2 linked regions of the Callithrix jacchus genome follow. The protein of the gene in region 2 purifies or fractionates together with the protein of the main gene of each other region. This does not show direct contact. Links are inferred from orthologs where the notes say so. Each region holds a gene or a part of one and is shown on either strand. Other genes may lie near its edges.

Region 1 (4,538 bases), on a different chromosome or scaffold from region 2:
TTTCTTAGTGAATGTCTCCACACTAAAAAGATGACCATTTCTAGCCTTTTTCATCAATGTTAATTTGCTGTGCCCATTTACTTCGTCCTCTGCTGGCAATCACTATCCATGGCAAGCAGGAACCGATGGTCTAAAAATTCCAACCAATAATTCTAAAGTTCCTTCAAATTATGAAGTCGGCTACCTCTCTGGCAGGGTTTCTCACAAACTTAGCCTGAGAATCACTGCTTTAAGGCAGGATTTGCTGCTCACCAGCCACTAGACACAATCCTCTCTCGCAGGGTTTCTTAACTTGGGGTCTGTGAACTTGAATTGGAGAAGTACACTCATATTTCCATTAACCTCTAGCTAAAATTTTTTGTTTCAATTACAAATAGGGTTAGCTACTCACAGTGGCATGAGTACCTGTGACTTTGCCAGCAAGAGAAATATTTTTTCCCCATCACGGAGCCATTGTTCAACATCTTGAAAACCTGGTAACCCTTGTCACCACTTCAAAATTATGTTAACAATTACACTGGACGGTATAAATCAATGAGTTAATTTATTAAAAGTACATATGACTACATCGCCACTTTTAAAAAACGTTTACATCTGTAGCGCAATGTAAGTGGTTTCTTTTGTAACTCTATGTGTTTCATGCATTTGAAAATAGAACTGTGAGAAGGGGTCTATTGGTATCAGATGACCATTGGCTATATCATTTGAGTTAAGATACAGTTAATTGCTTATGCTGTTGATACTGGCATTATTAGTTTGCATTTCACTACTAAGCCACGCTACCTGTGTGCCTGGCGCAAAGAGAAAGCTTCAGATAGTTGCTAAATGAAAGGACAAACTTTGGGGTAGAGTTCCCGCAATGGCAGTTTGACACCAATTAATCCACTGATTCTACCAGCAGCCTAACTGTGGCTCAGTTTCTCCTCTCTGGGAAATGGGACTATTGTTTACCCAATGACCCTGGAAAAACTTACAAGAAAAAAACATTAATTTGTGTGAAAAGACTCAAGCCCTTTAAAAGACGTGCTTTTTTATTTTCCACGTGTATCCTTAAACAATAGTTCTAGTGGTCTTACTTTTACTAACCCGGTGTCCACATCAGAACCTTGAATCCCATTCCCAGTTCTGCTGTCCACTATGGGCCATAAGGAAGAAAGAAGCATCAGAGATAGCAAATAAAGTGGGTGGATTTAAAGATCAGTGCATATTCCTTGGGATTTGTTTGTAAATTGTTCATGTATGTGTAATGTACAGACAGTGAGAGTCCATCGCTTTCATCAGCTTCTCAAAGGGGACTCCAAAGACGACCTACTCCGAGACACAAATGTGCTCCTGAAAAACTGTAAACAAACTGTAAAATGTTCAAATTTTTTTTTTTACAAGACCTTCACATGTAAACCAGAATCCCTTTCCTACAGCAAACTGTGGGTCACAGATAATAAAACAGGCCTGTGCAACACCTCACAGCTAGTCAATAACCAGATGGGACCCGCTCCTAGACCACCTGGCTTTTTTCCCCCTGCATCAGCCTTGTCACTGAACACGGTTTCATTCTTCTTAAATCTGATGTTCATGGCACAGAGCAGGAGTAGTAGCTTTAAGTATCACTAGTCACGGCTTTCAGTGGCTCTGATCGCTATCATTCACAACTGTAACTGAATAAAAGGAAGACAGAAAGGAAAGAAAATTCTTGCCACTTATTCAACTTTCAAAAATAACATTGCAATGCCAGTTTAAAAGCTCCCCTCTACACCATGCTTCTATAAAGCATTCTCAAATTGATGGATGTCCAGCAAGACTTACTACTACAAGTTACACAACTGTACTAGCATGAAACAAACCAAGAGATAAGGCCCTGTCATCCTTCTCTGTTCAGGAAACAATGGCGGGATCATGCCACAGGCCAAGATTTCCAAAGAGATTGCTTTAGAGAGAATGCGTATCAGGAATCAAGGACAACAGTAATTTTGGCAGAAGGGCTAGGATACATGAGTACCGGGGGGTGGGAGTAAGGGGCGGGGAAGCCTGTACAATAAATCGCCTTAATAGAAATGTAGTGTGGCCACGAGTGCACGACCATCAATGGAAGCGCCTGCATTTTCCTTCACAGCTATCACTGCCTCTTTCCTTCCCCGCCCACCAACGAAAGCAATGCTGCAGGAGTGGAGGGCACGGGAGGAATAAACGGCGTGGGTTTAGACCTGTTTCCACCACGAAATAGCTGCGTGACCCAGGCAAGTTACAAAACCGTACCTCAGCTGCCCCACTACACTGTCGACTACACAAAAATGCTGTCTGGATTACATGACAGACAACGAATACGAAACCTTCAACACTGGGCGAGACAGAGGAACCGCTCCGTGCCTCTAAGGCAAGTCCGTAAGAGGGTTCTGGGGCCTGGGCTCCGGCCCGGAAAGGGCGCTCCCGGGGCCCGCTCCCCGCCAGCTGGGTTCCGAGCCCCTGCCCGGCCCACCTTGTTGTTGTACTCCTCCACGAAGCTGCCCAGAGCCAAGCGAAAGCGCTTATCGGGCCGCACACTCCAGTTCATCGCGTAGACAGTCCAGGGCGCTTCATACTTGTAGATCTCCTTCCGTTTGCCGTGCAGGGACATGGTGGCTGCAGGGCAGCAGTGCGGGCCGGGTCAACAGCGGGCTGCGGCGTGCGGGGTACGAGTCGGGCGGGGAGCCGGGCCTGAGACCGATGGGTCCAAAGGGAGTAGCGGAGGAGGCGGTCAGGAACGGCCTACCCCCGGAAGCGGAGCTGCGACAACAAACAACGACGACGGCCGAGCCCGACCCCTAGTTTCAAACCAGCTTGGGCACAGACGACAACCACCTTCCGTTTTGGGACGCCGCCCCGCCCTCTCGGAACGGAAGCCACAGGACCCCCGCAGCGGCACCAGCAGTTGGTTGCCTCACACGTCCTTTCGAAAGGGTTCTTTCTTCTCATTGGTTGTTGCGGCCGTAGCGTCTAAAAGCTCTTCGCTATTGGGTTAAATGTTTGTCATTGCACCTACTCGCCCCGCCTAACTCTTGGAGGCAGGGGCTTTGGCAGCCCCAAAGGTCATTGGCTGGCCAGGCTGTCAGTCAGGCAGATAACGGCGCAGGGTCTGCGGTGGGGAGTGGGTGACCTGAAGCGAGCGTGCGCGGGGGCGGCGGGCCTCCAAGTTCTAGGCCAAGTCTCCGAGAGTGAAGCCATCTGTGACCTGAGCCGACTTCCCCTCTGCTGCCGCTGTTCTAAGCGGCCTCTCCACGCTGTCGAGTAAAAGTACAGTTCTGCCTTAGTACAGTTCTTCTGAATGTTGCGGGACCTAGCCCCGCGGCCTGGCAGTCTGGTCAGTGCCCAGCGGGAACCACCTTCCCGCTCCCTCTGGTCCCGCGGCCCCTTTAACCCGAAAGCTGCTCTCTTCGTGCCCCAGGGACAGGCTTCGGGCGTGCAGATGCGCCAAGGGTCAGGCCAGCTTGAGTCAGGCGCTCCGGCGCTTTCCTGTAGGATCTAGGAATGTCCCCGAATTCTAGGGTAGGCATCAACGAGACCAGCTTGGTTATGTTTTTGTTGGTTCCTATCCTGTTACCTCCCCGCCGTGGATCCCAACGCAAATGCTAATCCAGCCCCAAAGGTATCTGTGCTTATGTGTTTGAGAGGGAGAAGGGCCTGAGACCAAGTAACCTTTATAAATGGTTTCCAATTCTTAGCTTTCATCAAAATTGAAGGAGGTTTGTATCGAATTGTGGGACATTAAATATATATATATATATTTTAAAGACAGGGTCTCGCCCTGTCACCCAGGCTGGAGTGCACTGGTGGGATAAGGGCTGTATCCTTCACAGCCTAGGCTCAAACGATTCCGACTTTAGCCTCTAGAGTAGCTAGAACCACAGACGTTCGCCCCCACAACTAGCTATTTTTAAATTACTATTTGTAGAGATGAGATCTCTCCATGTTGCCCAGGCTGGTCTCGAACTCCTGGGCTCAAGCGGTCCTCCCACATCAGCATCTCAAAGTGCTGGGATTACAGGATTGAGCCACCATTCTGGCCACTAAATATAATTTTTAATGATAACTGATTTTAACAGACAATTCAAAGACTTGAGGGACAATGCTATATAAGATAACCCCTGTTAGTCCTATCTTCTTATGTGAACAAATTTTGTAGCCACTTTAAAAAGGAAAGAAATGCTTTTTGTTTTGTTTTTCCTGAGATGGAAGGAAACTTTTTTTTTTTTTTTTTTTTTTTGAGATGGAGTCTTACTCTGTTGGGCAGGCTGGAGTGCAGTGGCCTGATCTCCGTTCACCTCAACCTCCACCTCCTAGGTTCGAGCTATTTTCCTGCCTCACCCTCCTGAATAGCTGGGATTCTAGGGGTATACCACTCCCAGCTAATTTTTAGTAGAAATGGGGTTTCACCATGTTGGCCATGCTGGTGTCAAACTCCTGACCTAAAATGATGCTGGCCTCAGCCTCCCAAAGTGTTGGGATTACAGGTGTGAGCCACCACACTCGGCCAAGAAATCCCCTTTATTTATTTATTTATTTTA
Region 2 (3,809 bases):
CTGAATTGAAGGGGTCCCTATCTCCTTTTAACTTGTCCTGTTTGAAGTGTTTTAGTTCTATTTTGTTTTTTGCTCTTTCAGAGAGAGGGAAGGGTTGACTGGAATCAAGGGAAAGGGCGGGTAATCCAGTGCAGAGGCTCTGGGGGCATGCGTGGGAATTGGCTCTGAGACAAGGTGGCAGGAAGCTGCCTGGCCTTGGGAACCTTCACTGCTAGATCTTGCCTTCTTTGCTCCTTAGGCCTGTGGAGGTTCAATCCAGACCAGTGTGAATGCTCTGTCAGCAGATGTGCTGGGTCGATGCCAGGTGTTTGAAGAAACCCAGATTGGAGGCGAGAGGTGAGCTGTGGGCCCAGGCTGAGCTCACAAACCTGCCTGCGTGTGACCTTCTGCCATCTTTCAGCTGTGATACACAGCTTGTATTGTTCTTTTTACAAAGTCTCACCTTTGGGTCATAAAGAGCTCAGATATATATAACATTACAGGAAGGTCTAAAGTCTTAACTTCACAATCTTTTATGCCCTAGTAGTATAGCTGCAGACCTTTGCAAGAAAATGTCTGTAAGTTGGGATTGGGCAATCTGAGTGAAGAATGTCAGAGTGTTAGGAGGGCTGGCAGTGAGGACAGTACAGCAGGATGGTGGCAGACAAGTTCATGTGTGTACTATTTAATCCTGGGCATAGGTACAATTTTTTTACTGGCTGCCCCAAGGCCAAGACATGCACCTTCATCCTCCGTGGCGGTGCTGAGCAGTTTATGGAGGAGACAGAGCGGTCCCTGCATGATGCCATCATGATCGTCAGGAGAGCCATCAAGGTACTGGGCTGATGGCCTCCTGCCTTCACAGCCTACCCTATCCCCCTAGCTGATCAGACCTTGGATTTCTGTGGTAATTCCTTCTCTATATAATCTGCCCTTTCCTGGGTGGTGTGGTGAGCCCTGATTTGCCCCACAAATGGTAGAGAAACTGAGCCTCAGTTTCTTAAAAAGTAGGTCATCCTGCCTTGAAAGCTAAGACTTGTTCTTTTAGCCAGGCATGGTGGCTCACACCTGTAATTCTAGTGCTTTAGGTGGCGGAGGTGGGAGGGTCTGGAGGCCAGGAGTTTGACACCAGCCTAAGCAGCATAGTGAGACCCTGTCTCTACAAAAATAAATTTTAAAAAATCAGCCAGGCATGGTACCATATGCCTGTAGTCACTCCCAGCTATTTGGGAGGCTGAGGTGGAAGGATCCCTTGAGCTCAGGAGTTAGAGGCTACAGTGAGCTATGATCACACCACTGCACCCCAGCATGGGCAACAGAGTAAGCAGAAGAAAAAGACTTGTTTTTGTTAGCAAACTGGAATTAATGTAATCAGATATTCTCGTGATTGTTCCAGTGTCCTTGGGCTGCAGATGACCTTGAAAATAGAAACCATAAGGCTCAGGTTGGAATATTCCAGACAGGGGCCATCTCTGGGCTTCTGGGGTTTGGGATGGAGGAAGGAATGAAGAACCACTCTTTCTTGGCTAAAGGGACTTGCTGAGTGGCCCAGCATGGAAGCCTGAACCAGGGGCTCTCTTACATTGAGAGGTGGTCTGATCTCTGCAGAATGATTCAGTGGTGGCTGGTGGTGGGGCCATTGAGATGGAGCTCTCCAAGTACCTGCGGGATTACTCAAGGACCATTCCAGGAAAACAGCAGCTGTTGATTGGGGCATATGCCAAGGCTTTGGAGATTATCCCACGCCAGCTGTGTGACAATGCCGGCTTTGATGCCACAAACATTCTCAACAAGCTACGGGCTCGACATGCCCAGGTGGGTCCTTTCTCTCCCCCGGGTTCAGGGTTTGGGTTGGTGGGGCTAGATTCTGAATGTGAACTGTGCTTACTTAAGCTGTGCATGCTTGGCCCAGGAGATAGGCTGCAACTCTACCCAGCCTGTCTGCCTGACCAACTGCCTTCTCTGAGGGCAGAGGGAAAGCCATGGTGTCAGCATTGGAGATCCAGGGTTTCTTCATTGCTTCTGCCAAGCGTATGATTGCTCCTCATGGAACCACAGGAGGAATCCAGCGGCACCTTCCTGGAAGCATGCACTGACCACAGGGAATGGGCTTATCAGTGTAGTGGTGAAGCTCTCCAGAGCCTTGCTTACCTGTGGCCTTGCTGGGGCTTCACCACCAAGTGTGACCCTGGGCTAGTTACTTCAACCTTTCTGAGAGTTTAACTTCTCCATTTATTAAATAGATAGGTTTGTTAAGTGCTCAGCACCGAGTGAATGACCCTGCTTCTGGCTTGTATTAGGACTTTTGCTTGAAGTCACTTTACCTCTGTGTCTCCCTTTCTTCATCTATAAAACGGCTTAATTGAAGCAATGAGATGAGAGATTGGATAGTAGTTTTGTTATTCTTGTTTATCTTGAGATCTCATTGTTTGATATATATATATATAGTCCTCAGGTGACCTGAGGATGATGCCACCCCAAAACACAACAGCTTGCCTGGGAGGAGATCCCAGAGGTCTGGTGTGGTATGTCCAGGGATAAAGGGAGGAGTTGGCGGGAGTAGGGATGTCCCCAGATTCCTGACATGTTGCCACAGGAAGATGCAGTACTCTTCGGGGAAATGCCATCAAGTTCAGACAGTCTGAGGGTTCCTAGCAGTGTCTTTTGGAGTACCAGTTTACAAGAGGAAAGTTGAGTGCAGTTCCATATTACCTCCTTTCTTTTCTACTCTTTCAGGGGGGCACATGGTATGGGGTAGATATCAACAACGAGGACATTGCTGACAACTTTGAGGCTTTCGTGTGGGAGCCAGCTATGGTGCGGATCAATGCCCTGACAGCAGCCTCTGAGGCTGCGTGCCTGATCGTGTCTGTAGATGAAACCATCAAGAACCCCCGCTCGACTGTGGATGCTCCCCCAGCAGCTGGCCGGGGCCGTGGTCGTCCCCGTCCCCACTGAGAGGCACCTCATGCATCACATGACTGGCTGGCTGCTGGGTGCACTTATTCTCCTTGGTTTGGTTACATGATTTTGCAATGAAGGGGTAGTAATTGGCCCACTGTCTTCTCACTGGAGGCTATTTAAATAAAGTGTCAGATTTAGGATTAAGTTTGTAAATTATTTTGGCACAGTACTTACATGTCTGGCTGTAGCTCAGAATTTTAGCTTTGCATGCACTTGTCCAACAAGGAGACGAGCATCCTAGGGTGAGCTGCACTAGAGTGGCCCCTGTCTGGAAGTTTGACTGTGGTTGCATTCTTCGTTCCAGAAGTGGCTGGACAATAGGGAGTTGCTTTCCGGCATCATCTTATTTAGCCTTGGCCTAGTCAGATACTGCTCCCAGGGTTTCACTGGTTTGAGTAAATGGATTACATTACCTTTTCTGCCCCTTCTACCTCCATATTCTTTTGGTTTAGTCTTCTGTTCCCTCTTACTCAAGACTGAGGGGGGTGTTTAGGGAGGTCTCTCATGCTCTTTAAACTCTGGTGATCCCTTGGAAGTCCACTAAGGAGATGACTGAAAGCACCCACCTGGTCTTCTCAGTTTAGTCCCCAGTGATCCTGGTGTTTCTGCTTTCTTGTGGCCAATGCGAGTTTGGAATGCCTGGCACTGAGGAGCTGGAAATCCAGCAGTATCTAACATCCTCCTCGTTTACACTGGTCCTGATAGCTGGCCTACACCCAGCTGTAGTTGGTCACTGTTAAAGTTGGTGGTAAATGATGTCACTGTCAGCCATTGAGGCTTGCTAGCTAAAACTGGAAAGTGATTTTTTAAAAAAATTCTCTGAACCTAGCCACTCCTGGTTAGATGCACTCAGAAGCACATAGGTC

What was found.
Region 1: the proteins of CCT7 (region 2) and DCAF7 purify together in Homo sapiens (affinity purification with mass spectrometry; 4 studies listed by BioGRID and IntAct, counting the BioPlex papers as one, with this or other methods). This does not show direct contact. The link is inferred for Callithrix jacchus from reciprocal best matches to the Homo sapiens genes CCT7 and DCAF7.

What each region holds. Positions count from the first base shown.
Region 1 is NC_133506.1:88,827,109-88,831,646, reverse strand, and holds the start of DCAF7 (DDB1- and CUL4-associated factor 7), read right to left. Parts: upstream 2,841-4,538; 5' UTR 2,612-2,840; coding exon 2,474-2,611; intron 1-2,473. UniProt on the Homo sapiens protein: Involved in craniofacial development. Acts upstream of the EDN1 pathway and is required for formation of the upper jaw equivalent, the palatoquadrate. The activity required for EDN1 pathway function differs between the first and second arches.
Region 2 is NC_133515.1:41,419,102-41,422,910, forward strand, and holds the end of CCT7 (T-complex protein 1 subunit eta), read left to right. Parts: intron 1-238; coding exon 239-336; intron 337-680; coding exon 681-813; intron 814-1,587; coding exon 1,588-1,794; intron 1,795-2,715; coding exon 2,716-2,937; 3' UTR 2,938-3,087; downstream 3,088-3,809. UniProt on the Homo sapiens protein: Component of the chaperonin-containing T-complex (TRiC), a molecular chaperone complex that assists the folding of actin, tubulin and other proteins upon ATP hydrolysis.